Arabidopsis thaliana: one gene and its partner. The protein of the gene in region 1 interacts with the protein of each later gene in a pairwise test. Each region holds a gene or a part of one and is shown in the gene's direction. Other genes may lie near its edges.

Evidence for each region. Proteins that work in one complex are often made in the same cells at the same time.
Region 2: the proteins of ASIL1 (region 1) and TDF1 interact in binary tests that used the Arabidopsis thaliana proteins (3 or more experiments, as listed by UniProt).

The regions. Positions count from the first base shown.
Region 1 is NC_003070.9:20,179,054-20,182,927, forward strand, and holds ASIL1 (6B-interacting protein 1-like 1), read left to right. Parts: upstream 1-1,556; 5' UTR 1,557-1,918; coding exon 1,919-3,070; 3' UTR 3,071-3,321; downstream 3,322-3,874. Other genes in the region: AT1G54050 (HSP20-like chaperones superfamily protein), read right to left, coding at 505-768, 866-1,069; AT1G54070 (Dormancy/auxin associated family protein), read left to right, coding at 3,630-3,874. UniProt on the Arabidopsis thaliana protein: Transcription repressor that binds specific DNA sequence such as the GT-box-like motif 5'-CGTGATT-3' in the AT2S3 promoter. Negative regulator of seed maturation genes during seed germination and seedling development.
Region 2 is NC_003074.8:10,673,965-10,677,614, reverse strand, and holds TDF1 (Duplicated homeodomain-like superfamily protein), read left to right. Parts: upstream 1-1,890; coding exon 1,891-2,023; intron 2,024-2,114; coding exon 2,115-2,244; intron 2,245-2,345; coding exon 2,346-3,036; 3' UTR 3,037-3,107; downstream 3,108-3,650. Other genes in the region: AT3G28480 (Oxoglutarate/iron-dependent oxygenase), read left to right, coding at 250-312, 372-429, 533-708, 809-869, 1,048-1,349; AT3G28460 (methyltransferase), read left to right, coding at 3,318-3,471, 3,549-3,640. UniProt on the Arabidopsis thaliana protein: Required for anther development and early tapetal function during microspore maturation. Regulates callose dissolution required for microspores release from the tetrads.

The DNA.
Region 1 (3,874 bases):
CAGTTTTGATTTGGTTTAATCCGGTTAAAAGAGAACCAAAATAATTTTTTTAAATTAAAATAAATAATTAATTAAAAAGTTAAAGATAAAATTGAAATTTTTAATTATTCATAAAATCATGTATAAAAATAACAACATATAAAATTTTAGATATTAATTCTTGTATGTTTTAATTTGTATATGTATTTTTTCTGACTAAAAACATTTGGGTATTAAACTTCTAAATAAAAAATAGTTTGAATTTTTTTTAGAATTTTTCCTATAACATTAATCTTGTAGAATCCACAAAAATTTTGTAGAGCCCAGTGCCTTAGGAGTATCTTATGGTGGTAATGTCGACAACGTTTTTATTTGTTTTTGGTTTTGGAGGCTAAACCTATTTATTTCTTCAATTTCAAAATTTCGACAAGAGAACACATAAAAGAAACAGAGTCTTTTTATCCAAACACAGAAAAATTACAAACTAGAAAACAAACACACACAAAAACAAAACACAGAAACTACTCAAGAAACAGCGATTTGAACAGTCTTAGGTTTCGGCGGCTGTGGCGGTAGCTTCTTGATAACAACTGTCAAAACACCTTCTTGATATTTAGCCGTTACAGAAGCCATATCAGCATCTTCTGGTAACCGGAACTTCTTAACCAAATTCTGAGCAAGTCTCCTCTCGAGTCTAATATACTTAGACCCTTCTTCACTCTCATCATCATCTCTCTTCCTCTTCCCATTACTCTTTATCACTAAAGTCCTCTCTTCCTCCACTGTAACCTAATTTCCCACCAAAACCCCCAAATCATAAATTAAATTAAAAAAAAAACCCTAATTTCATAAACAATTCAACATTTCTATGGGATTATATCAATACCTGGATATCTGATTTTGAAATTCCGGGGATATCGAGATAAAATATGTATTCTTTGGGAGATTCCAAAATGTCTATTGGGATATTATTGCTACTTCCTCTTCCACGACTCTCGTTATTACTTTCGCCGGAACGAGAAATCGGGAGAATTAGCTTCTCGATCGCCTCCGGTAAGCCAAAAAAGTGGTTAATCGCAACAGCACTCATCTTCTCCGATCAATGACTGCCAGAAAACAAAACAGTTAAAAAAATCAACAATTCTGAAATTTTCCAGGAAAAGATCGATACAGAGAATAGGATCATTACCTGGGAATTAGGATAACCCTTTCCAATTGGATCTTCCTCTTCTTCGATTTGATAGTATGGGGTTTGAAATTTTCACTCCATTGATATATAGTGAGTAAACACCAGTGAGCTAGAAAGTTCCAGAGAAAATTTCTAGAAGTAACTAGTGAACTTGAGAGTTGTTTCAAAAGCTTCCACGTCATTAAATCTCCTTTTATTGGGCCTTATAAGTTATTTATAGGCCGTTTAGCACATTGGACTTGATTTATGTCTTTGTTCTATTTTGTATTTTTATTTCTTATATCTGTTTTTATTGGGCCTTGAAAGTTATTCCAGGCCTTAGCCCATTAGACTTGATTTATCTCGTTTTATTTTAGTTAGAGTTTTTGAGACTTGAGACAACCTACCTAACCATACTATAGACAAGAAAATAAAAATACTTTTGTATATTAGAGAAATTTTGAAATCCGTCAGTGTGTATATTCAATATTCCTAACGAAAAAATGGCCAAAGCATAAATACCTTATAGCGATATTTGAGTATTTACCATAAAACCATTCGAATACTGTCACGGTTCTAAATTTCTAATATTGTTCTTTTGTTATTAAAGGAAAGAGTGAAGGGTGTTTTCGTCATTTAACATATCCATCGGGTCAATAACGGAGATTACCTATCCGGTGACCTTATCCCCTCGCCGGTGAGCGAATCTCAGATCCAAAATTTTGCAAAATCCTCAGATCGTCTTACCTTCTCCGAATCGATCGATTTTTCATGGAGGACGACGACGAGATTCAGTCAATTCCATCTCCGGGAGATTCTTCCCTTTCACCACAAGCTCCTCCTTCTCCGCCGATTTTGCCAACAAACGACGTGACGGTGGCCGTCGTGAAGAAACCACAACCGGGGCTTTCTTCTCAATCTCCGTCCATGAACGCTTTAGCGTTAGTGGTTCATACTCCTTCTGTAACCGGTGGTGGTGGTAGCGGAAACAGAAACGGACGAGGAGGAGGAGGAGGAAGCGGTGGTGGTGGAGGAGGAAGAGATGATTGTTGGAGCGAAGAAGCTACAAAGGTTCTAATCGAAGCTTGGGGAGATCGATTCTCTGAACCAGGTAAAGGAACTTTGAAGCAACAACATTGGAAAGAAGTAGCTGAGATTGTGAACAAGAGTCGTCAATGCAAATACCCTAAAACTGATATTCAGTGTAAGAACAGAATTGATACGGTGAAGAAGAAGTATAAGCAAGAGAAAGCTAAGATTGCTTCTGGTGATGGACCTAGTAAATGGGTTTTCTTCAAGAAGCTTGAGAGTTTGATTGGTGGTACTACAACATTCATTGCTTCTTCAAAAGCTTCAGAGAAGGCTCCTATGGGAGGAGCTCTTGGGAATAGCCGTTCGAGTATGTTTAAACGGCAAACTAAAGGTAATCAGATTGTGCAGCAACAACAAGAGAAGAGAGGCTCTGATTCGATGCGGTGGCATTTTAGGAAACGTAGTGCTTCTGAGACTGAGTCTGAGTCTGATCCTGAACCTGAGGCTTCTCCTGAGGAATCTGCTGAGAGTCTCCCACCTTTGCAACCGATTCAACCGCTTTCGTTTCATATGCCAAAGCGGTTGAAGGTGGATAAGAGTGGAGGTGGAGGGAGTGGAGTTGGAGATGTGGCGAGGGCGATACTTGGATTTACGGAAGCTTATGAGAAGGCGGAAACTGCTAAGCTTAAGTTAATGGCGGAACTGGAAAAGGAGAGGATGAAATTTGCTAAAGAGATGGAGTTGCAGAGAATGCAGTTCTTGAAAACTCAATTGGAGATAACACAGAACAATCAAGAAGAGGAAGAGAGGAGCAGGCAGCGAGGAGAAAGGAGGATCGTTGATGATGATGATGATCGCAATGGCAAGAATAACGGCAATGTAAGTAGCTGACAATTGAACACACAAATGTTCCTATGATATTTGCTATGATAAGCTGGATTTTAGGTTTTGATGTTGTTGTTGTTGTTATTGTTACTGCCTTGTGGGATGTGTAAATGTAGAGAAGTTATGACTCTGATTATCATCATGTTGTTGTTATTGTTATCCATCTTCTTGTCTTAAACATGGGCAAATTAAAAAGCTTTGAACTTGAATAGCTTGTTGAAAACCTCTGTGATTCTTAAGTAGAGTTCTGAACTAGTAGTTTGTGATTCTAAGTTAAGACACAGCTTATAGAATATTCACCAATGAGATTAGAGACTAATGATTGGATTAGTCAGCATATTTATCCTTAAATTAAAATCTCCTTAATTAAGCCAAAGCTTATAATTAACCTCACTAAAAATATTCAATGCTTCTCTCTTCTCTTTCATCCTTACCTCTCTACTACCTCTATAAAACCATTTCCATTGCAAAGGAAAAAAAAAGAAGATAGAGACAGTAAAATAAAAACCCGAAATAATTTGAAAAAATATTGTTATATATTTTTGGATAAATTTTTGTTGATCGGATGGGGTTCCTACACAAGCTGTGGGATGAAACGGTGGCCGGACCGACGCCGGACAATGGTCTCGGGAAATTGAGAAAGCACGATTCATTATCCACCGTCCGATCTTCTCCTCCTTCTCTCTCAAGCGACCAAGTCACCAGAAGCATCATGGTTACCAAGGGGAATAACAATGTTCGTGGTCTCCGTAAATTGAAAATGGATCCGGATTCTCCAACCTGTTCAAGCAGCAACCCTGGGACACCTTT
Region 2 (3,650 bases), on another chromosome or scaffold:
CTATAGAAATTTATGTTGGCTATATCGTAGAACTTTGCAATGACTTGTTAGAAGCGGTGGTTTTGTATCTGGATTGATTTGGATGTTGAGTTTCGTGCTAATCATTGGAGAATGATTGTTATTATGAGGTCTAATGTGGCTTTTGTGTGCGTTGTACTCCGTTAGATTACTTCAGCAATTAGGCAGACTAGTTCTATGTTACTGATCAACGCTTGACCAAGTAAACATGCATTTCCTGCAATACTGTAGGATTCTGTTTCTGTGGTTAGACAAAGTAGCAGCTTCATTGCAAATATGGATAGTCTAGAGATTGTGTGATTCACTGATTGTTAACCTTTGAGTTTGAATGGTATGGTTCTATGTATGTGTAGGATGATATAGTAAGTAATGTGGAGGCAAAACTTGCTGCGTGGACCTTTCTTCCCGAAGGTATTTTTGGCCATATGTACATAGATTTCCTAATTCTGTCTCTTTGTTTAGACTTTAGTTGCTTACAACTTCTCATCTCTTTTTTGTCTGTGTTGCGGATCAGAGAATGGTGAATCCATGCAAATATTGCATTATGAGAATGGTCAAAAGTATGAACCGCATTTTGACTACTTTCACGACCAGGCTAATCTAGAGCTCGGTGGTCATCGGATTGCCACAGTATTGATGTACTTGTCCAATGTTGAAAAGGGAGGAGAAACAGTGTTTCCCATGTGGAAGGTAAAGACATATATTACTTCTGGTTCCTTAAATTTTCATCTAATATTTCGATTTCGTTTCCTGAGTAGCCTCATTTCAGTTTGATCACACATTCTTGTAGGGTAAAGCAACTCAGTTGAAAGACGATAGCTGGACCGAATGTGCAAAACAAGGCTATGCAGGTAAGATCACTGTATATAGCTTGCTTGATATAGAATACTGTATCCTGAACATGCGTTTGGCTTAATTGTGAAAGCTCAACACAAATGGGGATTGTAGTAGTTTGATTAAATGATAATGAAAGGTATAACTATTTTTCCAAATGGTATATTGCTCTATCTGATTTATGTATCTTTGCAGTGAAACCGAGGAAAGGGGATGCATTACTGTTCTTCAATCTTCACCCAAATGCAACCACAGATTCAAATAGCTTACATGGAAGCTGTCCAGTGGTTGAGGGAGAGAAATGGTCAGCAACCAGATGGATTCACGTTAAGTCATTCGAAAGAGCGTTTAATAAGCAATCTGGATGTATGGACGAGAATGTGAGCTGCGAAAAATGGGCAAAGGCAGGGGAATGCCAGAAGAATCCAACATACATGGTTGGTTCAGACAAAGACCATGGATATTGCAGAAAGAGTTGCAAAGCTTGCTCATCTTAAGAACAACAAGTAAAATCAAAGCTCTTATTAAAGGATCAAAATTTTTGTATAGCGAAAAACCGGGTTTTCGCCATTCGGGTAGATAAACATATCGTCAATAGAATGAAAAATTTAGAACTATATACTAAAAAAATAATTCTGATTCTATGTTACTGGTTTCATGTGCAAGTTATGTTCCTTATGGTTCATAACTAGACCAAAACTTAATAAAAGTCGGTTTATGTTATCATCAACCTGAAGCAAGCGATACATGATAACTGAATTAAGTATTATACAATCAGTAGTAGTGTACATGAGATGATAGTTGCCAAAACTACGTCATGCACTTCGAGACTCTATATTTCTAATGAAGTGTAACAATCATGCAATTACCGTTAATTAGGAGCCTTCAAGCATGAGATCCTCACCTTCTCTCTCTTTCTCTCTCAGAGCTTTTGCATTGCATCACTCTATTTCCATAAAGCCTTTGTTGTTGTCCTTTCAGACATTTCTCAGCTTCTTCTTCTTCTTCATCTTCTCTCTTGTGTTTGAATACCAAAAAATGGGAAGACCTCCTTGTTGTGACAAGTCCAATGTCAAGAAAGGTCTCTGGACCGAGGAAGAAGACGCTAAGATCCTTGCTTATGTTGCTATCCATGGTGTAGGAAACTGGAGCTTGATCCCCAAAAAAGCAGGTTTTTCCAAAAAAAAACTCTCTCATTTCTCTTAACTCTTAAGAAATCTCATTTCAAACAAGTCTGAGTTATTTTTCGTTCTTCGGCGCAGGTCTGAATCGATGTGGAAAGAGCTGTAGACTAAGATGGACTAATTACTTAAGACCTGACCTTAAACATGACAGCTTCTCTACCCAAGAAGAAGAGCTTATCATTGAGTGTCATAGAGCCATTGGCAGCAGGTAATGAAGCAACCTAATTGCTAACTAACTTTTTAACAATGACAAGAATCTATCAAACTTTTTATCTCATTAGTAATAATTGTAACCTCTGATGTTTTCAGGTGGTCTTCCATTGCACGAAAGCTTCCAGGAAGAACGGATAATGATGTGAAGAATCACTGGAACACAAAGCTGAAGAAGAAGCTGATGAAAATGGGGATAGACCCGGTGACTCATAAACCGGTTTCTCAACTCCTTGCAGAATTCAGAAACATTAGCGGCCATGGAAATGCATCCTTCAAAACAGAACCATCTAACAACTCTATACTCACACAATCCAACTCAGCTTGGGAAATGATGAGAAACACAACAACAAACCATGAGAGTTATTACACCAACTCTCCAATGATGTTTACAAATTCCTCTGAGTACCAAACTACTCCATTTCATTTCTATAGCCATCCAAATCATCTGCTCAATGGAACCACATCTTCATGCTCTTCCTCATCATCTTCTACTAGTATCACTCAGCCAAACCAAGTACCTCAAACACCGGTTACTAACTTCTACTGGAGCGATTTCCTTCTCTCGGACCCGGTTCCTCAAGTAGTGGGATCCTCAGCTACTAGCGACCTCACTTTTACGCAGAACGAACATCATTTCAACATCGAAGCCGAATACATCTCTCAAAACATCGATTCAAAGGCCTCGGGAACATGTCATTCCGCGAGTTCCTTCGTTGACGAAATACTAGATAAAGACCAAGAGATGTTGTCACAGTTTCCTCAACTCTTGAATGATTTCGATTATTAGATCCCTTCTTTTCCCTATTGTTGTTACTTCTCTTGTAACTGGTTTATGATTTTCAAGAACTATGTTTTTTCAATAAGTTATATCTCTTCTCTTATTAGTACTTACTTAGTACTTAAGTAGTAACCAAGTCTCTTGAAATACAAAGCTCAAAATTAAACACCTTTTGATACAGAAATAGATCCTCTGGCTCTGGAAGAAGGTTTTAACTCTATTTCTATCATTCGTCTTCTCTGCAGACGATTTCTCTCTGCAAGCTCCCAAAGTCGAAAACTTTATCAGCAATGGCGGTTTTGTTGTCATCTTTCTCTCCACTAGGAATCAACATTGACATGAATAAGAATCTGGGTGTTTCGTATTCTTCTTTCCCTCAAATTCATCTCTTTAAGGGTTCTACTCCACTGCGTGTTCGAACATTCGTCGTCTCGAGTCGTAAAAGTGTGAAATTTTGCATCTTTCACAGAATCATTCATAAAGTTCTGTCTTTTCTCAGTTTATGTCTTGTGGGTTTTCAGATTCAGGAACTGGTTTGGCAAGTGAGGATAAGAAATTGTTGCTGGAACGATATGGTTATGATGCTAATGATGACTTTGGGTCTCAATCTAAGGTCTGTTTTT